3 linked regions of the Oryzias latipes genome follow. The protein of the gene in region 3 interacts with the protein of the main gene of each other region in a biochemical or structural test. Links are inferred from orthologs where the notes say so. Each region holds a gene or a part of one and is shown on either strand. Other genes may lie near its edges. The genes, in order: APC membrane recruitment protein 1, mcm3 and keap1.

Region 1 (7,830 bases), on a different chromosome or scaffold from region 3:
ATTTAGCCTTCCTATTCTTGAGGCTTATGAGTGGCTTGCATCTTGCAGTGTACCCTCTGTATCTACTTTTATGCAGTCTTCTTTTTATGGTAGACTTTGATATTGATACGCCTACCTCCTAGAGACACTTGGTTGGTTGTTGTGAACGGGTTCCTCTGCACCATGGAAATGATTCTGTGATCATCCACCACTGTTGTCTTCCGTGGACGTCCAGGTCTTTTTGCCTTGCTGAGTTCATCAGTGCTTTCTTTCTTTCTCAGGATGTACCACACTGTTGATTTATATACCGGTACTCCTAATACTGTAGCAATTTCTGGGTTTTTTTCTTTCTGTTTTCTCAACTTAATGATGGCTCCTTTCACCTGCATGGAGAGCTCCTTTGATCGCATGTTGTCTGTTCACAGCAAAATCTTCAAAATACAAGCACGAGTCCTCTGATCAACTCCAGGCCTTTTATCTGCTTCACTCATAATGACATAACAAGGGAATTGCCCACACCTGCCCATGCAATAGCATGGAAGTCCATTTAAAATTCACTGTGGTAATGTACAGAAACTAAATTAGAACGGATGTGTCTCTGTCCAAATATTTATGGTCCTGTATATAGTTCGTAGAGCATGGTGCTCAGTGTAGTCGTAGACACGTGTGCACTGAAGTGTGTATCAGAGAATGTTTGATTGGCTGTACTTCATGTCAATCAAGTGATGTTATTCACGCAAGTGACGAATTGGGCACCCCTACTCTAGAGTATCTATTAGCTGCCTTTTCCTTTTTTTTTCCCTCAATGTTCTGTCTCCTAATGGCAATTATTTTGAAACTTCTCACTGACTGGCTTTTTTATTTTTGTGCAGGATCCTTACCTGATGGGTGATGAGTTTGGTGTGGTTCCGCCTTCAGCTGACTTTTAAACCCGGTCTGTGATGCCTTCTGTCCGGCATTTGTCTTTGTAAAAGTGATAGTCATGGCTCACTGCAAGGTAGAGGAGCAACAATGTGACGCCCAAGATAGTCCTCCGGTCGCTGATGTGCATTCCCGCTGTCTCATCACAGAAGACGTTCAGTCTGATCCGATAAATACAACAGTCAAATCTCAGAAAACTGGGAGATTCAGGAGGACCGCTTTGACGTTTTTTGGAGTTCGCAAAGGTATCTGTATTTTACCGAGCTTTTTTGGTGGGCGAAGTAAAAATCAAAACAAATGGCACTCAAAGAAAGGAATTAGCAAAAGCAAAACCCATGATGGGTTGAGTAACATCAGCCACACAGACCATCTGGGAAGTGTGTGCGCCTTGACTGAGGCTTCAGAGTATCACAGTCAAAGGGAAACTGCTGCAGAGCTCCAAAGCAGCTGTCACAACGAATGTAGTCACTCTGCTGATCAGCAGAAATCACTGACACTCGGTCGACACAAAAGGGGTTTGAGAACTCTCTTTCAGAGTTTTAAGCAAAGCAGAGGTCAGAGAAATGCCGGCTTGGATACAACAGAGATGATTGCAATATCCTTTCCTCAGTCTGGGAGGGAGGGGCCTGCTGTCCAAGTCAGCCGGCCTGTCACTGAGTGCCTGGGATCTGAACCTGATGTGCCTGATTTCACAGATGTCATGAAATGTGACATTTCCATTGGTCCTGAATGTAGCAGTGCTGATGTGATGCGATTGGAGAACAGCGCAGAGAAAGAAAGACCAAAGTCTGAGCACGGCGGTCAGGAGCAGCATGATCTGCTTGAGGAAGCTGCTGCGGTGGCTGGAGCTTCCACTACTCACCAAGAGACCCTGATAGATTCTAGTGCACCATGTGTGGAGCCTCAGATGGGGTCTCCGTCTGCATTGAAGTCGGAAATTCCTCACGGCTCCTCAGATGGGCTTAACCTGTTCGAAGATGTTTCATCGTTGAAGAGCTTTGATTCGCTGACTGGCTGTGGGGATATCACTGCAGATCAAGAGGACGACAGCATCACAGACAGCACGGTGTCTGGAGAACGGAGCAGGAACGGAGGGAAGAGGGCTTCCTGTTACCTTACTTACCAAGGTGGTGGAGAAGAAATGGCCTCACCTGAGGATTTTGATGAAACGTGCCTTCAGGAGTTTTGGGGAAACAATGACGCAATCTGCTGCACTTGTAATCCAGACCAGACGGACACAAATGAGTTGACAAGTTCTCACAATTTGGACTCATTGAACAGTAGCAGTGCTCAGCAGGCTGTTGGTATAGTTGTTTCCTCAACTGCAGATGCTCTAACTCCCCAAAGTGAACATCAGGAGTCATTTCCAAATAGCGATGAGGGTTACTATGACTCAACGACCCCTGGACCACAGGAAGGACAGGAAGAAGGTGACGGGTTAAGAGCTGGCAGATTACCCAGGGACAGTTACAGCGGAGATGCACTCTATGAACTTTTTGCGCCTGATGAGAGTCTGATCAGTCCTCATTATGAGAACAAATCACCTCATCCCAATTCCAAATCAAGCACCTTTTTGTCTGAGCCAGAGGATGAGATGGATGCTGCTTTTGTTCCAGAAATGAATCGCTTGCTAATAGGTGCCGAACTATACGCAGAGAGTTTTCTAGAGAGGCCGGGCACGTGCAGTAAGTCCTTGGAGTTGACACAGAAAGTGGAAAGTCGACAGGAAATCAGAGGGAATCAAAACACTAATGCACATTCAAAACAAGTATCGATAAACATGAAAGATGCTGCAGTAGGCATTTTTGGTGACACTGGAAAAGTGCTCACTCCAACCGAAAAGAGAACAATATCCACAAATGCTGACTGCAGCGTAGCATTTGGAAGCTCATCTCATCCAGATTATGAAACCTTTTGCAGACCTAAAGAGGAACATCTTGAAGAAAACAAGCCTGTGGCTTTACCATACAAAAACAAAAGTTCCTCTGCTGAAGAGAGCACCACCTTCCTGGATGATGGGCAGACAGTGTGTTTCTCACAAGCACTTGAAGATTACACCAAACACACTCAAATCCTCGGCAACAATGCGGATGATCTGGACAGGAATTCTGCTTTCACTCCAAACATGGAGGCCTTACCCACCATAGTGACGTTTGACGTGGTTGATATGCACAACGAGGGTGAATATGATGAGCAGATGCGCATGGACTTAGAAGAGGACATCTCCTCACCCTATCAGGAGTTTGAGGAAAGCTACCTTCAGAAAGATGGGTTTGCTGAATGTGATTATCAGATGTTTGATTTGTATGAACACAACCTGATCAGTAACGCGTGGGCTGTTGCCAGTCTCCCCCGGCAACATGGCGTTATAGGAGTCAGCCAGTCCGTGCCTCACACATTAACCCATGATAAGAGGAGCAGGTCTCTGGATACCGAAGGTCCTAATGTATGCACAGACACCAGGGCGGCTGTTGCTTATTCCTCTCAACTGGAAGAGGACTCAAGCTCTTTACCATACAGCAAAAAGAACATAGTTATGTCGTCCTCAGAAGCTGGAAACGGTAAAGGAATAATGTCTTCGTCGTGGCATCCCAGGACAGATGAAGACGTCACTGTAAAAGTCCAAAGTCTAAGTTCTCATCACTCCTCCAGCGGGGACTTCTTTGACCTTAAACCGCATCATCTTTGCACTACTGTGTCAGACGACACTAGCTGTGATTTCATGTCCCACAATCCAGATTCAAGCGGCAGACAGCGTCACTTCCCTGTGCTGTCAGACTCCTGTGGACCTCAGGGCACCCTGGTTTATGCTGGAATGACAGAGCAGGAGCTTGCCGATCTTGGTGATCGTGTTTTCTGTAACACTGCTCATATGAAATCCTTTACCCAGAGCAGTAAAGGCCGAGCAGAAGGTGCGAGCCTTCCTCAGAGTCCTCTGAAGGGAGCTTTGTGTAAAGATAAAACATCCGTCCTCTGTGAAAGTCAAGCGATGTAGTGTTGTTCTCTGTGGCTTGCAGCAAGCTACCTGAGGTATCTCTAAACTGAAAGGATTTGCCACAGTTTGGATGACAAATGCCAGCAATCACTTTTTATATTAGTCCAAAGGAACAAAAATTGCTGATTTTAGTTTGCACAGACGCGTGTTTGGAGGAGCTGTCTACTCCGACGGGAAGTGGAGTTGAACCGCTTGAATAAACTGACAAATGATGTCCAGAACGTCTGACTTTCTGCATTTGTGCTGTACCAGTCTATGTGCACGGAGGGCTACTAGATGTAGATGGAAAGAATTTAAAGGAGCAGCTGTTTCATTTTCCATTAAAGTTCTCATCTCATTAAGCTACTGAATTTGACAAGAATGTTTTACCCACTTGTAGCCTTGATATTGAGGCCTCTTCACTGATGCCACACTTGTTTGCGAGGGTCATCATCAGCCCGGCTTCAGCTGTACAACCGTGCTACGCCTGTTGCCTTTTGAACATATGAATGCTTTTGCTTTGCCTTAAATGTCAACTTGGGTTTGTTTTTACTGCATTTCAAAATTATGAGTCCACAGCAGCGTTACATCTAAATCCAGGTGTTTGAATTTTCTTCACCTCATTGAAAAGACTTCTGAAATAAAAGATGCCCTGACTGGAACCGGTATGACACTCTATTAAGAAGTAACTGCATTTTCAATGTCAAACACGTCAGGCCTGAAATGGTGAATGAAGTTTGTAAATCTGCAGTAAACTGCAGTAATTCCTTCCTGCCTGTAATTTCCAGCACATCTTCACTTGAGTTTTTGTCTGTGACACATTCTCTCCGTCAGCAAATCCCGACACACCACAGGTGTTTTGTCCTCTTTCACTCATCCACACAGACAATAAAGCGAGTGGACCTTTTTATTTCAGTCTTTTTTTAGCTGTCATAAAAAATAAAAATTCATCTATAGGAAGATGCCATTTAACAGACCAGAGATTCTTTTTTGGTTGTTTTGTTTTATAACAGTTATAACAGTCCTCTGTGGGTTCAGGTTTGAGATGCACTAAAACAGTTTTAGCTCTTTTTAGTTCTACTTTTCCACCATGTTCATGGTAAACAACTAAAAACACATGTAAAGGAGTTGTTTATTGTTCCCACATTTTATCTCAACTGCAACTTTAAGTTTACATTTTGAAGGTTTTTAGGGGAACTCAGAATCATTTGCAAATCTTCTAAAACTCCCCTGTATGGAAAATATCCGTTTTCATAAGCAGTGAAACAATACATGAATGAGAGAGAGCATGTGATTATAGACTGGGATTCCTTTTTTTTAATTTTTTTTTTTGAGCTAAGAAAAACCATGCTTTTATTTTTGTTGCATTTGTTTCTTTGTTCTGTTCTGTTTTCAATTTGAAATAGCTCCACCAACTAGGAAGTAAAAAGTTCAGATGAAAATTGTGCTCTTCAAAACTGCGTTTCCGTTATTGTGAGGGATGAACAAGTGGTTGGATTTTAAATTTAAGATAAGCTATTTTTTTTCTTTAAAAATGGAGTGTTGTTATTTTTCTGTCTGTAATATTAGGAAAATGTCTACAATTGTCTTTATAGCCCTAGGTTCTGATTTCTTGTATCATGTACAGTTTGGCTGTTACAAATGGCAAATTGGGTCTAAGTTTTCTTATGAGTTATTGTTTACTTTCACCTTAAACATTTTCAAAGCTTTTGTCTGAATACAACACTGCCTTACAAGAAAATAAACGTGATATCAAGTATAATCAGGCTTGGATTCTTTCACTGAAAGTGAGCTTTGCACTGTTCTGAAGTTTGGTTTTGCTTTAGTCCAGTTCTTAAGTAGAAATCTTGTCTTTAAATTATCCTATTTTTTTATTAAACTTTTAAATACCTGCATTTTTTTCTACACATAAGTGGCATGACCCAAACGCTGTAGGTGTTTCTGTTAGGAGCAAAGTTTTAGATAAATGTTAAATGTCACAGGCTGATTAATAGTTATATGATATGAAGAAACTGAAAGCTTAATGCCATATTTTCTTTAAAATTGGGCTTTGTTGAACTACATCATTTAAAAACTGTCTGCAAAATAAGTTTTAACCCTGATACTGCCAAAGATAAAACCAAATACATTTTTATTTTGTGCATATAGAATAAAAAATTAAGTTTGATTACAGGGATTATAGTTATCTGATATTATGGATAAAATGTGATATGCTTTTTCAATACAAGTCTAAAATAGGTAATCATCTGCAAAGCCGATTAGAAATGTGCAATGTTGTTCTTTTAGAACCATTATTTCATCAAACAATAAGTAATCAGCGTTCTTTACCAAGAAATTCAGAATTTTAGGTTGGATCTAAAATAATTAGAAGCCTTTCAAACTTCCGTGACTCATTTATCTGGCTCCCGAATTTTTCATTGTGATTTACTTGTTTCCCTCGCGTTATCTGGCAACCCTGCCTAAAATGCGACAGCGCCAATGGCAGCAAAAGACAACTAGAAGAGGCGAGGAGGATGACAGCAACAAGGTGAGAGGAGCACCGTTTGAAGTCAACATTGGCACTGATGTACGGCCAGAGAATGCAGAGAACCGTCACGTCTCCCTGCGGATTCAGCATCGTATGAGTTATCAAATTACTGGCAACTTTATCCCAAGTTGTTAAGGTATTTCTGTTGACAAATTGTTAGCATATTCTCTAAACTGAAGCTAACTACAGTTAGCATTCCAAGCGTTGAAGTAAGCGATGTTAGCTTGATAGCAGTATAGCTAAACTAAGTACCAAGCTTAATGTCGTCTGACAGTGTCACTTATTAATAGTTACTTAAACTAACTTCTAGATGGTGGTAAACACGTAAAGCTAAATCAGCTCTGAGTGTTGACTTGAGTTGTGTAAATAATGTTGGGGTATCGTTTTAGCATATGCTAACTGCAGCTCGAGGCCTAAAGATGTCAAAGCAGTTATTTGACAGAATGCCGAAGGTCACGTTTTATATAATGCTTGTTGCATTTGTAGACAAAAAATGTTGCTAATGTGCATTTTCTAGTGCTGTCAACTAGTTCTTAAGCATTTGTTCCTTTTTACGTGTCTCAACTAATGATGCTGCAGAGATAAACACTTTTGTTTTTTTTCACTGACGTGTCAACTTGTTTGATTTATCATTACGATTTTACAGACCAACAAAGTTAACACGAACAATGGACAATGAAAACGAACATATGTGTAGTGTTGATTTCCCCCAAAAAATTAACCACACAAATTTGCAATAATATATATTTTGCACCGCTAACGTTTAGCTTGTTCCTGCTTAGTATACTGTCATCGAGTTTTATTTTGAAATCTAGAATCTTTAAGTCACGTCTTTCATTAATGTCATTGTCAACATGGTGGTGACAACTCAGATTTTTTTAGACGGTGCACTACAGGAAGTTTGAGGAAAGTTAATCATATTTATTTGATGAATACCTATAAACTAATGATTGAATAAAATCTGTTTGATAAAGGAAGCTGTTCTCTTTACTCTTATCAGAATTTACAGAATAATAAAAACATTAAAAATGGTTAACTTTGCAGTGATTTTTTTTTTTGCTGTTTGGAAATGTTTAAGAAAAATTTAATATGAAAAAGGAGAAAGGAGCTGAATTTCTTTTTAGTAATAAATGTATTTTACCTGTAAAATGTGACAACATAAGTGAGTTAAAACAATATTTGTAAAACTAATTTCAAGCATTACATTTACATAGATTGGTTATGCTTTGTCTTTTATTTTTCTTTACTAAAATATCCACTTTCAGTCTTCGTTTCCAAATAGAAAGAAATATTTAATCTTATATTTAAACTGAAGGCAGCTTACTGCTGAATCCCGTTTAAAGGCAAAAAGCTATTGACGTCCTAATATTTATACTTTAAATTTTACCCATGATATCACTTCTTTATCAGGGTTTTTTCTACATGCACC
Region 2 (8,356 bases), on a different chromosome or scaffold from region 3:
TTCATTAAGGTGTCGACATCTGCAGATTTGATCCCCATAAAACCAGTTTATTGAAAGTATTCAGTCAAAAATCAGACTTGTGCATCATTTTATTCGTTTTTCACTTTGACAGATTAACAATATCAGATCCTTTCTACTATTTACAAAAGCAGAGCTGAGAAAAATCCACCTTGTTCCACCAAACACACACAAACAGTCCCTCATCATCCTCGCTCAGATGAGGAAGATGATGTCATCCGCCACCATGACCTGGTTATCGTCCTGCATGCGCGCCAAAGCTGTGCGGACATCTGCGTCCGTGAAGACTGCCGCGCCCTCCTTGTTGATGCCGTCCATCAGCGCTGCCATCTTGACCGACTGAGCGTGTGCGGACTGGAAGACTGCGAAAAGCGAGGACTTGAACTCCTTCAGCCTGAGGGAGAGGAAGAGGAGAGGGTTTTTAGGATCTAAGTTGAGGAGTTATTAATGTTGGACCTACATGAGGCCGGGGCCATGTACCTCTCAGCAGACAGCTCTACATCTTCAGCCTGCGGCGTGGCGTCCATGGCCTCCTCCTCCTCCTGCCGCCGCTGGGGTTTGGTTACCTTGGAGATTCCAGTCTGAACTACAGAGAAGAATTCAAAGCAGGAAGTTCTTCTGGGTTCAAAAGGTGCCTGAAACATCACTACTTACTCTCAGGAACTTCCTGCTCTTCGGTGAAGTCGTAGGGGCTGCGAGGCTCGCAGCTTTGAGATCCACGTCGCCCCCTGCAGGAGATAAGAGGAAGTGTTAGTGCTGACTTCAGGGCAGATCTTTTTTTTTTTTACCAATAGTCCTCCTGACCTCTTCCTCTGGCTGCTCTGTGATCGCTGTGAGACCGCCTCTTCCTCCTCTTCATCCTCTGAACCGGAGTCGCGCTCCTGTCTTGAGCGCTTCTTCTCTTTTTCCAGGACCTGCGGGTCACACGGTGGGGGCGTCATCGCAAAAGCCAAAATCCCCTCGCAGGCGTGACAGAGTGGGACCAACCTTTTTGAAGTAAGCAAACTGGACGAGCTCCACGGCGACCTCCGAGTCCACGCGCTCCACCACTTTGCTGATGCGGGATTTGGCGTGCGCCGTGGAGAGGCGGATCAGCGTCTCTAGAGTACGAGCCGTTACTGGGGAGGTCTGCGGGGAGGAGATGAGGTCAGAGCCGGAACTGTATGCCCAAAAAGGAAAAAGGAAGAAGAGCTCCTGCTCACCCTCGCCATGTCCGATCCCAGCTGCTCCTGGCCCCTCAGTCTGGAATACTCCTCTGCGATGTGATTGGCCGCCTCTTCCGTCAGCACGGGAGTCACCGCCTTGGCGATGTGGATGTACTTCCTCATGAACTCCTTACTCAGAATCTTATCCCTGCAAGCGAACGTCCATGTTTAAATTCAGGTGATTCCTCGGAAAATCCTGTGGCGTAGAGAATCTGCGCCTCCTACTTCTTCCTCCTGCTTCCGTGCAGCAGGACGTTGTGTTTCTCATAGATCTGCAGCTCCTCGCGCTCGTCCGCCGCCGCGTCCGGATCCTCGGTGGTCAGCACGTCCACCGTCCCGCCCAGAGCCATAGCTAGAGAAGGAGGCGACATTGTTAGGAAGCGAGGCGTAAAGCGGGCGCAGACGACACCACTGCGGCTCTTTAGTACCTGTCCCCTCCTGCTCGCGCGGGTCGCGGTAGCGGTGCATCCTCAGCACGTGGTCAGAGACCTCGCGGTCCTGCTCCGGGTCCATCTGGTCCAGAACGATAAACAAAAGGTCGAAGCGAGACAGGAGAGAGTCCTGCAGGCCGATGTTCTCCATGGGGGTCTTGTACTGGTCATACTGCGGCAAAAATAAAAGTAGATGAAAGGAAGTAGGAGTCAGTGTGGCGAGATTTTGCAGGGGAGGGGCTTACCCTTCCGTAGACCGGATTGGCAGCGGCCAGCACGGAGCAACGGGCGTTGAGCCGTGCGTGGATACCGGCCTTCGCGATGGTGACGCGGCCCTGCTCCATCACCTCGTGGATGGCCGTGCGGTCCATGTCGGACATCTTGTCGAATTCATCAATGCACACCACGCCGCGGTCGGCCAGCACCATGGCGCCCGCCTCCAGGCGCCGCTCGCCTTGGGGGAGAAAACCCATTGAGCGGTGGAGCAAAGGAGAACGATCGAGTTAGTCAAGAGAAAAGGCGGGGTTACCTGTCTCCTGGTCGGTGGTGACGGCAGCCGTGAGACCCACGCCAGACGACCCCCGCCCGGTAGTGGGGATGGCTCTGGGCGCCGTGTGGAGGACATATCGCAGCAGCTGGGACTTCGCCACCGACGGGTCACCTGTCAGAGGTTAAAGACCCACGATCACCAACGGGGAGGTGAAGGGGGGTTGGGGTTGCGCTTTTTACAATAGATCACAAGATAATGGAAGTGGGTCCACCCAGAAGCTCCTGGATTCCTGCGGTGGTCTTACCGATGAGCAGGATGTTGATGTCCCCTCGGATGCGGGAGCCGTTCTCCAGAACCTTCTCCACGCCTCCCAGCAGCATGCACAGGATGGCCTTCTTGATATACTCGTGGCCGTGGATGCTGGGAGCCAGAGAGCGCGCCAGCTGGTCAAATACGTTCTACAGGGGGGAGAAAAACCCAAATGTTTCAACGTCTCTGTCTGCTGAAACAGGAAGTTCTAAAGGGAGGAAAATGACGCACAATGGAGCGAGTCTGACTGAAATTCCTGATCTTGGCAGCGTCGTCGGCAGAGAAGCACGGAGACACCTCCTTGCTCATTTGTTTCACGTTGCATGCTATCATGATCGTCCTACAACCCAAAAGAATTGAGTTAATGGTCAAAGTTTCTCAGTAAACCCGGAAAGCGGCAGAGAAACGTGTCTCACCTGAAGGTGCCGGAGGTGAATCCCCCCTTCTTTCCAGGAAGGCAGCGGTACGTTCCGATCACCTGCACCCTGTCTCCGGGTTTCACCATATCCACCAGGTCGTTGTCTAGGATGATGTCCACGGAGCGGGGCAGCTGGCCCGCGGGGGCCTTCTCGGGCATTTCCTGCACTGTGATGGTCTGGTGGTCTTTGTAGATGGACAGACCGAACTCCGTCTCCAGCGGGTTGTTCTCCTCGTCCTGAAAGCATCACGTTCAGTCCAAAGCTCGCGTCTGAGGAGGCTAAGATGGCAGCTTCACCTGTACCTTGGTGGGGTAACTAGCGCTGGAGGGAAAGGCGTCCAGCGAGGTCAGGTCAGTGTACTTCCTCTCCATGGTCTTCTTCGTGGCCGGGCAGTAGTGGACGCTGCGCACCACCTTGGGACGCACCAGAGAACCTACAGACCACAAAGTCACATCAGGGCTTCTGCCGTCCTTCTGCCAATCCCACAAACAGAAATGTGCTCACATTTGGTGATGATGCCCTCCACACAAACCATGCTGCCCAGCAGGCGGGACGTCAGCGTCCGCGGCGAGACGTGCTTGGCGCCGAAGCTCCCCTCCAGACCCACGAAGAACTCCTCGTGCTGCTTGGCGTAGGTGGCGTCCACAGAGGCGACCAGATCCTTCAGAGCCCGCTGGAACGCCACCAGCTCCTCGAATGCGTTGGTCATCAGTCTGTTAGAGGAAAATTGTTCAAATTCATTAAAGAAATACGGAATTTCCTGAGGTGATCTTCACTCATGATTAAAATGTAATTAATTTCTACTAGTAACAAATTCCTTTCAAAATAAAATATATCCTAAATATATCCCAAAATAAAATATAACCTATATTTCCTGCTGCAGCAGATTTACTTGACTTAAAATAAAGACAATTAGTTAAAAAAAACATACCCAATGTTTATGTAAATTATTAACCTTTTTTCAAAGTCAATGAGCCTCAATAGAGACAAAAGGGCCGCAATTGACTCCAAATCACCGTTTTGATAAACTAGAGTAAAACGTTACATTTCTCCTTTTGATCACGAAATCGCCCTATGATTTTCGCTGTTTTGTGTGCACGTGTTACGTTTACAGAAAAGTGTGTGTGTTGTGTTTGCATTGTGTTGTTTCTGACTTTGCAGCTCGGGCTTCGTTGCGTCTCCTCAGGTCGTTGATGTTGACGATGAGTCGTGCTTTGTTCTCGTTGATCATGTCCCGGACTTTGCTTTGGTAAATGCCCTGGTCTTGCTAAAAATGAAAAGTCGTGATGAAAAACATTAAAACAGAAAAAATAATTAGTTTCGCCAAAACCGAATCACTTCACGTGAGACCAAAGAAACAGAACAGAACAGTTTTTTGCCGCAGACTCACATCGTCGTCCAGGAAGTCCAGATAGTCCCTCTGTGCCTCCCTCATTTCCTGGTCATCTACGACGTCGGTCGACATCTTTGTTGTAAAGTTAAGTTTTTAAGTCTTTAAACTAATAAAAACTCTTTAACCGCCGCAGTGTGCTCCTCTGCAGGCAAACCACACAAGTGAAAGAGTTTCGCGCCACTACATATCACGTGCCACCAAAGCGTGCACCACTATTGGCCAGCTTGCAAGCCACCTCCTCGGCTCCCAGTTCAGCTATCCAATAAAGTGTTTGCTTCCCTCTGTGGCCCCGCCTTCCCAGAGGACTCCCGCGAAAATGCAGCGGAAGGAAGGAGTCTGGAGGTGGGCGTCCATTTCCAGACAATTTGCAGTTATAGATTTCTGCCAGTAGAGGGCGACAAACACCAACCGGAAATTCAACAAAACTACAGAATTTTTTTAATTATGTAAATCCTGGAGAACTTAAGAACACATTTCCTTTGGACTTTTAAAGTTAATTTGACTTTTTTGTTTGTTTGTTTATATTGGGTAGCCGCAGTCAACAGCGGTAAAAAAAAATAGAAAAAACTAACAAGTAAAAGTTTTTAAAGAGGAAATAAATATGAATTATTTTTTCCCTAATTACTATTTATATTCGGATTTATCTAAACATGCAACCAGGTACAGTTTTTCTCAGTTGCTCTAGTACAATTCTCAGATCAGAATTGAAGTTTGCAAATACGTGTGTGCATTTCTCAAAACAATTTGTACAAACAGCAGCATAGATCTTTGGTTCATCTCTCAAAACTAAGTCTTTATGTCATTGAACATGTCAGTGCCATCAGAATGTCAAGTCCTTGTGTCATTGTCTACGAACAAGACAGTCAAATTACTTAGTCATGTTGTCAATATAACTGTGTACTTTAGAGGGAGGTTCTGATGTAAACTATGGCTAAAGTTTGGATGACAATTATTGTAAAATGTAAGTTACACCTTTTCTGTTTGATTGCAAGAGACTGGACAAGATTCACATTTACACTTTTATTGTTCATATTGTAATTTGTTGACAGACCATGTCATACCAACATAAAAAAAAAAACACCGCAAACAGTAACACAAACGGAAAATAAAAGAAAGGACAATATTCTGTACAACAGTACAGGCAGTGCAGTAGGAATTGGTGTGGTCTTCCTACACCTCTTGTCGTTCCTGTATTTTAGGCCACGAATTCTCATCCACATCACAGCGAATAGCCTCTCTTGCAATGCAGTGAAATATGTTTGTCACATTATGACAACTTGGTCAACCATTTTGCAGTTGACGACTTACGATGAACTAATGACTAGGTGTTTTGAGGAGTAAGACTGTTGCAAGGTGAACTATATAATACATTTTTGATCAACATGACATAAACAACTGATAATGTAGCAAAGAGCAGAGAATTGTACATAATCATTTGCATGGATGTACCAAAGCAACTGCAACTTGTTCAAAGAAGTGAGAAACTGCTTATATGATGTGCATAAGTGACATCATGATGTGAATATTGAACAAATAGTTTTGGGAATTTCATTCTGATCTGAGAATTGTACTGAAGCGACTGAGAAAAACTGTAATATACAGTTATTGAAACAACGTCTAATTAAAAAACGTACATGTGGTATATTTATGAGAGAATTCTGCTGCCCTGAAAATGTGAATGTAGACGTGTTGATTCATAAAAATGTGACTTTTTACATCTGGTGGGCGTGTCATGTGAGTTTGACTCCGCCTTCCCCAGTTCTCCAGTTTGTTTTGCTTTTGCCGGTTCAGAGCCTGGATCATGTCTTGTTAGTGTTTGAATACTCCCGTCTGCTCGCCTTTTGTTGGAAGAGAGTCGGTCTGAGGTTAAAACCAAGCGGGTGGAGTTAAAGCTGTTGTCTGGTCTACCTGCGCAGGTGAGATGAATATTTCTCCCTTTTAAATAACATTGCCATGCTTTATCTCTCTGAAATAGTCTTTGTAGTATAAAGATTTTTTTTAAGTATGAGTTTAGTGACGTACAAAATTGAATCATGATAATCCAACAGACTGAATGCAAATTTGTATACCTGTTGAACGGCATTTTTCTCACCAAGTCCCAGGTTTGAGCAGTTGGTGGTGGTAGAAGAAGGGATATGAATGGTGCTTTTCTCATAAAAACCTCTGATGGGTGAGGTCAGGCTGCACCCTTTGAGTAGATGCAGATACCTTTTGGGAAGATTGCATCACAGCTACTTTGTGACAACTATAGCTGACATTCCTCTGTGTAAGTGTCATAGAGGGCCTGTTTACAGGTTTGGTCGTTTGCTTCATTGCTGACTTCAATTAGAACACATTGTCTCCCCTTGCACTGGCATTTTGCTCTTTTTCAGTCTTTAAATGCATTGTGCTTATAGTTAAGGCTTAATAGTTCAGAGTTGTACTATGGACCCTGTTGAACAAATTAATGAAAAGCCACAAAAAACGTTTAGGATTTTTAAACAATCCTTTTATCTGTGCATGTATTTCTGCTGCATGTCTCTGATGTCAGATTTTTCAAAGTCCCACTCTGATCATCTTTTGATCTAGTTGCAAAGCATTCCTAGTGGTCTTTTATGATTATTGACTTTGAAAAGCATTTGACACTCTCAATCATGTCATCCTACTTGACGAACTGAAAGTGCATGAGATAAGAGGACTAGCGCTAACTTGGGTCAAAAGCTATCGATAACACTTTATATTAAGATTCCTTAACAAGCTTTGTTAACACATTAACAAGCATTATAAATTAATTTATAGGGTGTTAGTAAGACATTTATTAGTACAATAAGTCTAATAAGGTTTATTAAATTACTTAGTTAACACATTTACAAGCATTATTATTAGGATGTTTTCAAAATGCTAGTGATGCATTTACTGATATTATAGGTGCCTAACAAATGTGTCAGTGTTAATAAGCTTAATAAGATTTATTAACAACCTTTGTTAACAAATTAAGAAGTATTATTATTGTTTAGGGTTCTAGTAAGATATTTATTAGCATTATAGATGCCTGACACAAGCCTAAGTGTTCATAAGCTTAATAAGTTTTATTAACTAACTTAACAAATTAATAGGCTTTATTAATGTGTCAGATGCTAGTAAGATATTTATTAGCATTATAGATGTCTTGCAAATACCTGAAAGTGTTAATAAGATTTATTAACATCTAAAGTCAGACCATTTTCTTCTAAATCCATATTACTAAACTGCTTATAAGCTTTACAAATGTATTAATTAACTTTGTTAATAGTTTATTAATTGTTTTGCAGCACCCCATCTAAAGTGTGGACGTTTTTTAATACAAACAACCACAAAGCATAAAGATTGTAAAAAGAACTTTATGAAATTAAAACAGACTAAACATACACAAATTGTTCTGTAAAAGATATATAAAAATTTAATTCAGACAAATAAATTTTTTTTTAAAACATATATACTGTTGTTGGATGACTAGCATCATAGAGGATAAACTATTAGCATCTATCCTGAGTGAAACATTCATTGCAAATCCCATCACCAGGAGACAGTTCTCTGCATTCAATGCCAACAGCATTCAACCACATTTGCCTTGCTTCAAAGTCCACAAGAAAGTTACACAAGCCAGTCATTTTTGAAGAACGAAGACAATAAACCTACAGGAGCCAGGCTAAAGCTAACACGCTAACGACCGACCGGTGCAGAATCAAAGATGGGCGGGGCTTTTTTCGTCACCTGTGTGAAAGCAAAGTCTAAGAGGCCATTCAATTGGCTGAAAGTGAGCACGCCTGTTTTGCTGATGAGTTTGATTGACAGATTCATTAGCCAATGGTGACATTGGTTAACCTGCCCATCTTTGATTCAAAATCAAAGATGGGCAGGTTAGCGTGTTAGCTTTAGCCTGGCTCCTGTAGGTTTATTGTCTTCGTTCTTCAAAAATGACTGGCTTGTGTAACTTTCTTGTGGACTTTGAAGCAAGGCAACAGTGGTTGAATGCTGTTGGCATTGAATGCAGAGAATTGTCTCCTGGTGATGGTATTTGCAATGAATGTTTCACTCAGGATAGATGCTAATAGTTTATCCTTATTAGCTAT
Region 3 (8,297 bases):
AAAACTGAAAAAATGTACAGGCTTGTTTGACAACCAACCATCTGCCTTTCGATTATTTCCTGCAAGCAACAACTATTACTCAAAGTTTTTGAACTTTATGAACAATCTCGGAAGTTCTGACTCTTTTTCTGCCCTTCTCTTCAGTTTTTGGAGTTTTTTTTTTCTTGCAGAATAATTTCGCTGCTTCCAAAGTCTAAATAGTTTCTTTTTTTCTCTCCACAGGTTCCGAGCTGCATAATCAACAAGAACTCAAGAGCACCACCTTTTGGTGAAAAGCAAAACATCTACATGGTTTTTACTGTATATCAAATTCATGTAACCCTTTAATTTGCTGAGGAAGCGGTGCCTTTTTTTGCATCTATTTTGATCCCAGAAATTTTTACTGGCCCCCTGCCAGTGCCAAACATGACTCTTTAGCCACCGAGTCCAAGAGGGTTGACAGAAACAAACCGCCGGGATGACGGCTTCAAGTTCTCTTTCTCCAGAAAACTTCTCCACCTCCCTCAGTCCCTCGCCTGGCTGCTCAGTGCCGCTCTGCAGCTGCCCAAACAAATCAGTCATTGTGGATCATTACAACTACACTGGCAAGCTGAAGGACGACCGCTGCCATGTCGGGCTGAAACCTGAGAGCATCGCATTGTTGGTGCTGTGTGGTATCATCATCCTGGAGAATGCTGTGGTTCTCATCGCTATTTGGAGGAACAAGAAGTTCCATCTACCCATGTATTACCTTCTGGGAAACTTGACTCTGTCCGACCTTCTGGCTGGGATTGCTTATATAGCTAACATTCTCATGTCTGGACCTCACACCTTAAAACTGACGCCTTTGCTCTGGTTCCTCAGGGAAGGGGGAGTCTTCATCACATTGGCCGCCTCTGTTATTTGTTTGCTGGCGATTGCAATCGAACGGCATTTCACTATGATGGCCATGCGTCCGTACCACGGGGCCAAGCGGGGACGGATGGTGGCACTTATCATAGCAAGTTGGGCCCTGGCAGGTTTTCTGGGGGTGCTTCCCATTTTGGGATGGAACTGCATTGGAAAGTTGGACCAATGTTCAACAGTGTTCCCACTTTATGACAAAAGCTACATCCTATTCTGCGTCTCCGTGTTCAGTGCAGTGCTTTTGGCCATTGTGGTTCTTTATGCCAGAGTTTTTCACATTGTGCGCACCAACACACAGCGCCAGAGGCAGGGCCTGACAGGACCCACGAGAAGAAGTTTATCAAGAAAGTCTAAGAAGTACATAGCCCTGCTAAAGACAGTGACTATTGTTCTGGGTGTCTTCATCGCTTGCTGGATGCCTCTGTTTGTCCTCTTCCTCTTAGACTTTTTTTGTTCCAGTGGCAAGTGCGAACTACTATACAAAGCCGACTACTTCCTCGGGCTAGCCATGATCAACTCACTCCTCAACCCCATCATCTACACTCTGACCAGTAGAGACATGAGAGTAGCCATTCTGAGGCTGCTGTGTCTGCCATGTCTGATTGCCACAGGCGGACAGATCAACAGGTTTGGGACGTTCCTGGAGTACAGTTTCAGCAGGAGTGAAGTGGGCTCTCAGAGGTTGGACGTGGGGCAGGAGTCGATCATTTCCACTGGAAACATAATCAACACTTCATCTCCAATTAAATCTATATATCCCAAGCTCTTCAAGTCATAGACTCTGGCAACAATGGTATTTTGGGGTATTTAGTAAAGCCAAAAAGTTAAGAAGTATGATAGAGGTGCAGCTGAATCATGCTTTGACAAATGCTTCACATTTTACAAATAAAAAATAAATGTGCGAACAGCAACAATACCATGAACTAGCTTTTTTAGGTAAGAAAAAAAGGGCCACAGTATTCTGGTCAAAATGTGAACTAAACATGACTTCTTGTCCTGATGGTGTGGAACAGGTAAGAAAATAGGTCAACCTGTATCATCCACATCTTCAAGTTGAATGGTCTGCTACTCCTGCTCTGATAAAATCCTCAGCACCATAACTGCTTTTGTTTGTGTACGTGGTGCAGTGGAGCTTTGCAGAGAAAGACTCTGAAAAGAGGGAGTTTTATTTTAAGAACACATGAAGATTGTTGTAGTTTTACTGTGGGAGGGATGAAAGTTTCTCTAATTCTCTTGATTTAGTTGAAAGTGAACCAACCAGACAAAGCAAAAGTCTTTCTATTTTCTGTTGGTCTGGCATTTTCTGTCCAGTTGCATTAAAATGTCAACACATCCGAGATGTGGCCAAAAAAAAAAGATTTTTGAATGTTATATGGTAATACTTAGACTGTGACTGAAACCACTCAGTTATGAAAACACAGTTCGGAATTTTTATCTTGTGAATAAAGTTTCATTTATTAGCTGCGGCGGGTGTTTAAAGGATAAGAATTTATCTGCACTTGTAACTTATTTTATGGGAATTCAAGAAAACTTCAGGGCTGTAACTACAATACTTCTTTCTGTCAATCATCACAAACGTTTCCATTTTTCTTGAGATATCTGCGGCTGAAATACAGTCGAAGTGGATGAATGTGACAGTTTTCTATTTTGTGCTGAACTTAATGTAGCGACAAATTTTTCATTACTGAAAAATATGTTTTTTTATAACACTTGTAATGTGAATTGTATTTTGTTACCTTCCTTTTCATTCAAATAATAAAATATTTTCTTAGGCGAACCATCACTCTTTTTGCATTTTGTTGTGTGTGATTTATGTGGTCTGAAAACACATCTGGAGGAGACATTGACTCACATGCATCCCGCTCTTATTGTCTCAGCAAAGCACAGTTTATCAGTGGGTTAACAAAAGACTTGGTTTCATTGCTCTGGTTTTGTTTGTCGTTTGATTCTTTAACAATATCGAAATTTTCCCAGATGCTGATTGCAGGTTTTTGCAATACTCCTGCAGACAGCAGTCAGGCTTTCTTTCCCACACTTGAACACGTGTGCAGAAATAATCTATAAGACGGTTGTTTTTATCTCTGCTGACAAATGAGCTTACTGACATGACTCAACAGAGGCTTGACCTTTGCAGCTGTAACTGTTGGCTTTTACTGCCACCTTGTGATTTCTTTTAAAAACAAGGCTGCTATGTAGGCTACTACCCTATTGACCCGGATTTCACAGTTTGCAGGAGTGAAAAAACTTGGTGTGTCAGCACAAGCCAAAATGTGTTTTGGTCCCATCTGAAGCAAGGCAGATTTTTTTTCTGATAAAAAATAATTGTTAGATAAGATGATTGCGAGAGAGCTGCATCATGTTTTCTTTTAATGTAGATTGGTTCAGAGATTTCTGAGTATGAGTGACATATGTATGTTCTTATTATAAGATTGAATTGTTCTTGTGTAGATGCAATGCTTATTTAAGAGGATAAACATATGAGTAAAGTATAACTGTAATGGTTGTAACAGTTTTGTTAAGCAATAAGTCACAATTTTAACTCAAAGTTAACCTTTTGGCCTGGTTTTCTTTTTTTGTTTTTTTTTAATTCTGAGACTCCTTTCCCAATAAAAGCCTACCACCCCCTGACGCAAACACGACTCATTGCTCGTCAATGGAGGCGGTCCCGACGTTCAGGAAGCATGCTTTTATTGTGAAGGCCAGTTGACTAGTACAATGCTTAGTCACGGTGAGTTACAGCCTCCCCTCCTCCTTCCTATGTGGCGCACAGCTCGGCAGAAAACGTTGGAAATAAGAGAGTACGTGAGTTGCCTTTACTTTACAGTTAAATTTTAAAATGTCCATCAGTACGGTTTTGTCAGTTCGGTTGAACGGAAAGTAGGTTTTTTGGGCGGTAAGACTGAGTACTTACTCTTTGTTAGCATGTTTGTAGCTATCAGTTCTCAGACGTTACTCCACTGTCTATTTTAGGGGCTTATTTTGCTGCTGCCGATAGCGTTACCTCCACCTCGGTGTTTTCTTCCAATCAATGAGACCGCGGAATTTTTTATCTTTTTAGACCTCAGTTTGGTCCACCTTCATCTGTGTTTTTGCTGTTGCATGCCAGCTCTGTGGCAGTTTCAGCCGAAAACAAGCTTGTAGTAAGTGTAGATGATGACCTTAGTCAGTGTGGAGTGAAAGCTAAACTTCGCGTTGTGTGAAAGTTCTTCTAGGAAAGGTGCACGGGATGGAAATCTAATTCCATCCCCGGGCTTACATAAGAACCAGCTCCACTTCTGGGTCGCGTTTTGGTACATTCAGTTCCACTCTTTCTGGCTTGGCGAATAGCTCGCAATGAGTCACCAACGAGGGAAGCTCTCCTCCTCCACCACGAATGCCAACAAAACACGTTGGACGCTCTTTGCTTGTCTTCGGCCTCGCCCCCTCCGCGTTGGCTGTTTCGCACAAAGTTTGGCGACGAATCTAGAAGTGAAAGTCTCTCCAAGTTGTTGTGGTCTCCACAGATTTTCTGCAGCTTTTTTTTAAAGTGACAGCTATTGATTGCAGGCCCGTTTTTTGGAGTTGCACCTTTTGTATGAAAGGTGCTTTATAAATAAAGTTGATTCAAATGGGGGTTCCCAAATTGAGGTGCAGGGGTTTATTGAACTTTTTTGTTACTAAAAATGACAATGCAACACAAACTCTCATTTTTTTGCAATATAAATATCTTGAGAAAAAAGTAAAATGACATAATAATGTTTATGTTATTGAAAATGTTACACTTTTTGAGCTCCTTGCTCATTTGGAAAAAGATTTGAACCAAAACAAAATGCTCTGAACACCAGCTAAATAAATAAGTTTACCCTCTCAGTTCAATACCAAAGAGATGAAATGCCACATTCACCAGACTGATACGCTAGCTGCTTGTTTGTGAGCGATAGCATGTTGAGCAATATGTTCTGGAATGTTCTGTTTTCCTTGTTAGTCACCAGGAGGAAGAAAAGTGCAGTTTCAAATCAGTGTCATAAAGTGTGTTTCGTGTTACTGTAAGTGTCACTGGCTGACTCCACAGCAGCCTTTAAACACATGACTTTTGATAACAAAATAGTCTTTTTCCTACTCTACGAACTGTAAAACACTTGTCTTTTTATCTCGTCCCTCAATACAACCTATGGTGTGTTGGTTATATAAGTAATCGTGTTAGGATTGTTGCTGACGGACTGACTCTTCCTATTCAGAGTTCACCAGTCAAATTGGCCACAGTCTGCTCTTTGTCTTTCATATCCCTGTTGCTTCATGTTCTGTAAAGGAGAAGTTGTGATGACAGTAAACTGGCCTGCATTCACTTTGTTGCACCCTCCACCCCTCTGTCATTTTAACATTATGCAATAGTCGAGTTGTTGTCCTCCCGTGGACCCGTGCCCATTCTGTCCTTGCTGACGTACTTTTGTCCAAACCAGCCTGGAGAGCAATCTCTGCCATGTTTCAGTCATGTTCTTGCCCCACCAAGCCTGAAAAATTCTCATGTTCATGTCTATCTTCATGACATGTAATAATTAAACAAAACAATGGGTTTGATTAACTGAAAATAATTAGTGTTTTCTATGTTCTTCTTACTATCAGCTGGATTGGTCACAGGATAAGAGTAAATACTTGTCAGCTGGATTTATGCCCAATTGAAGGTACTTTAGCAGTGTGTTTTTAAAGTCAAATATGTTGTTTTATTTTATATCTTTAATGTTAGTGTTTTTAGACTTTTGTTGTACACGTCTGTATAAAAAGTATATCTTTACAGTGGCATGTTAAAAGGTTCTTAACTGGGATCATGTGGTGACCACAGAATTTATCTGAGGCTTCCTAACACAAACCTTTTCTCTCCTTCTCCCCTCAGCTGTCGGCTAAATTCCCTGCCTGCTTGAAAGCAGCGGCACAACAAACGATATCCAGCTCTGGAAAATCTTAAGGAAGTTTTTTTTTTTCAAGTATAGACTTCAGTTCTTCCTTCTCCGTTTCAAAGAGCTCTCAGACCCACCAGTGACGCCTTTGGATCTCTTCTTGATTATCAAACAACAAGCAGTCAAACTGTTGGATTCCTACACATTTATCTCAACATTTGTTTTACTTTTAACGGTCATAGTTTAGCTTTGATCCATCTGATGAGTTGGTTCCTTTAGGGAATTTAACTGACCAACATAGATTTAATAAGAGACTTTCAGAGCATGATTTAATTGGCTACTGCCATATATTTCTTTTTATTCCTCCAACAAACAGGCATGTTTAACAGGCTTCTGTCAGTATCATGCAGGTGTGGAAAGACAGAGAGTTTTGTGACAAATGCAGTTGATCTAAAAGAAATCCCTTTGATTCCCGACTCTGTAGTTTAAACTTAATTACAGCAACATCAATCTTTAACTCCCATTCAGCATGCTGGAGGGCCAGTGTATAACGGCGTGCCCAGCTGGAACTGGCATCTCTCAAGCTATTTTCAATGTCATAACTCGCAGCATGACTCAGCTTGAGTGCTAAACAGAGCCAGGACATCTTCATGTGGTCATAAATAAGACTTTTGCAGAGACTAGGAAGGACAACAGAGACGCTGTGACAACTGGAAAGACTGGAGCTCTGCAAAACGATCACCTCGACTTCATTTCACATGTGGTGCCAGGATGCCCAATAACCGTGTCCACCGATCTTGAAGCAAAGACATTAAAGAGGAGAAAGACCCTTTCTAGGAAATGACAGAGTGCCTGACAGAATGCAAAGCGCTGGTGACGCCCTCCACGCGCAACGGTCACCGCGTCTTCAGCTACACGCTGGAGAGCCACACCTCGGCCGCCTTCGCCATCATGAACGAGCTGCGGTTGGAGCGGCAGCTATGCGACGTCACGCTGCGGGTGCGCTACAAAGACCTGGACGAAGTGGACTTTGTGGCGCACAAGGTGGTCCTGGCCTCCTCCTCGCCCGTTTTCCGAGCCATGTTCACCAACGGGCTGAAGGAGTGCGGGATTGAGCTGGTTCCCATCGAAGGGATTCACCCCAAGGTCAGTGGCATTTGCTTAGAATTCATCATTTTAAGGGGTTTATTTCCATGTCACGCCTTGGAATAACAGTTTACGTTTTGTGGTGCAGTGAAGTGGATGTAAACAGGATAGATGTCAAAGAGAAGATGCCCAACTGCTTTAATATGGAGGGACTGCTCTGTCTCCAGAGGATTTCAGTTTAACTCGTTTCCAATCTAAATGTTTAACTCCCTTTTGAAGATGTAACTGTTAGTTTCTATGTTAAGGAATGAAAAAGTTCTCAAACAACTCCTTCTCAGGTTATGGAGCGACTGATTGAGTTTGCCTACACTGCCAGCATCTCCGTGGGAGAGAAGTGCGTCATCCATGTGATGAACGGCGCCGTCATGTACCAGATAGACAGCGTGGTCAAGGCCTGCTGCGACTTCCTCGTCCAGCAGCTCGACCCCAGCAACGCCATCGGCATCGCCAACTTTGCCGAGCAGATCGGTTGCACAGAGCTCCACCAGAAAGCCAGGGAGTACATCTACATGAACTTCAGCCAAGTAAGGCAGTGTCACAGAGCAAAGATAACTTTTATGTAATCTTGCTTGTATTTTTCCACTGACTTGCCACCAATCAGAAAAAGTGGGGAATTTGAAGTGGTTTTGGAAGTGAAACCTGTTTCACATCTTCCATTGTGGTTCTTGGTGGGTGCTTTTCCCGCTGCAGTGGGCCATGACCCATGGCGAGCTTTATTTTGTCATGGTTGGAGCATACGTGGTGGCAAAATATGACTGTACGTCAGAGTTAATTGATCTTTGACAAGATGAGCAAGCAAATTCATGTCGAGTTGAAAGTCTTGTTGCACAAATATTTGTCATTGAGAGCTTTTATCATTTTGTTTTTGTTTTTTAATTAAAAAACGTGTTTGAAAGTGTAAAAGGTTCTTTTATTCTTTCTCAATGTCAGGAAATAGCTGTAAAAGTCTATGGTTACTTCTGTTCAGTCAGAGTATTGTTTTTGCAAAAGTTTTTAAAAGTGAAAATGGGTACATGATAGAACCTGCTGAGTCAGTTTGTTCAGGAAGTCAACTGTAATCTGTTTCCAGGTAAACACTGAAATATTTTTTCATGTAAATGCCTATTAAGATGAAAATAACTGTTTTTTTTTTTGTTTTGTTTTTTTAGTAGTTTTTACAGAATATGTTTTAAAACCGTTTTGCTCAGGTCATCTACTTGTTTAAAAAAACTTGTTTTTATGATTTTCATTTGTGGAAAGAAGGTAATTGAGCTGTATTTTTTTTTTCTTCCAGGTAGCGACCCAGGAGGAGTTTTTCAACTTGTCTCAGTGCCAGCTGGTCACCCTCATCAGCCGCGACGAGCTCAACGTGCGGTGCGAGTCTGAAGTCTTCCAGGCGTGCGTGGCCTGGGT

Evidence for each region.
Region 1: the proteins of keap1 (region 3) and APC membrane recruitment protein 1 form a complex in vitro, tested with the Homo sapiens proteins (2 studies listed by BioGRID). The link is inferred for Oryzias latipes from reciprocal best matches to the Homo sapiens genes KEAP1 and AMER1.
Region 2: the proteins of keap1 (region 3) and mcm3 form a complex in vitro, tested with the Homo sapiens proteins (2 studies listed by BioGRID, with this or other methods). The link is inferred for Oryzias latipes from reciprocal best matches to the Homo sapiens genes KEAP1 and MCM3.

What each region holds. Positions count from the first base shown.
Region 1 is NC_019872.2:16,854,727-16,862,556, reverse strand, and holds the end of APC membrane recruitment protein 1, read left to right. Parts: intron 1-851; 5' UTR 852-961; coding exon 962-3,895; 3' UTR 3,896-5,636; downstream 5,637-7,830. UniProt on the Homo sapiens protein: Regulator of the canonical Wnt signaling pathway.
Region 2 is NC_019882.2:13,462,152-13,470,507, forward strand, and holds mcm3 (DNA replication licensing factor MCM3), read right to left. Parts: upstream 4,757-8,356; 5' UTR 4,338-4,756; coding exon 4,263-4,337; intron 4,140-4,262; coding exon 4,027-4,139; intron 3,586-4,026; coding exon 3,377-3,585; intron 3,306-3,376; coding exon 3,175-3,305; intron 3,109-3,174; coding exon 2,870-3,108; intron 2,794-2,869; coding exon 2,685-2,793; intron 2,603-2,684; coding exon 2,449-2,602; intron 2,316-2,448; coding exon 2,184-2,315; intron 2,109-2,183; coding exon 1,900-2,108; intron 1,827-1,899; coding exon 1,652-1,826; intron 1,576-1,651; coding exon 1,449-1,575; intron 1,372-1,448; coding exon 1,221-1,371; intron 1,147-1,220; coding exon 1,006-1,146; intron 933-1,005; coding exon 823-932; intron 747-822; coding exon 673-746; intron 605-672; coding exon 499-604; intron 413-498; coding exon 214-412; 3' UTR 33-213; downstream 1-32. UniProt on the Homo sapiens protein: Acts as a component of the MCM2-7 complex (MCM complex) which is the replicative helicase essential for 'once per cell cycle' DNA replication initiation and elongation in eukaryotic cells.
Region 3 is NC_019859.2:10,398,608-10,406,904, forward strand, and holds the start of keap1 (kelch-like ECH-associated protein 1), read left to right. Parts: upstream 1-3,564; 5' UTR 3,565-3,683; exon of another isoform or gene 3,684-3,687; intron 3,688-3,760; exon of another isoform or gene 3,761-3,778; intron 3,779-5,487; exon of another isoform or gene 5,488-5,546; intron 5,547-5,755; 5' UTR 5,756-6,599; coding exon 6,600-6,905; intron 6,906-7,183; coding exon 7,184-7,429; intron 7,430-8,178; coding exon 8,179-8,297. Other genes in the region: sphingosine 1-phosphate receptor 1, read left to right, coding at 458-1,663. UniProt on the Homo sapiens protein: Substrate-specific adapter of a BCR (BTB-CUL3-RBX1) E3 ubiquitin ligase complex that regulates the response to oxidative stress by targeting NFE2L2/NRF2 for ubiquitination.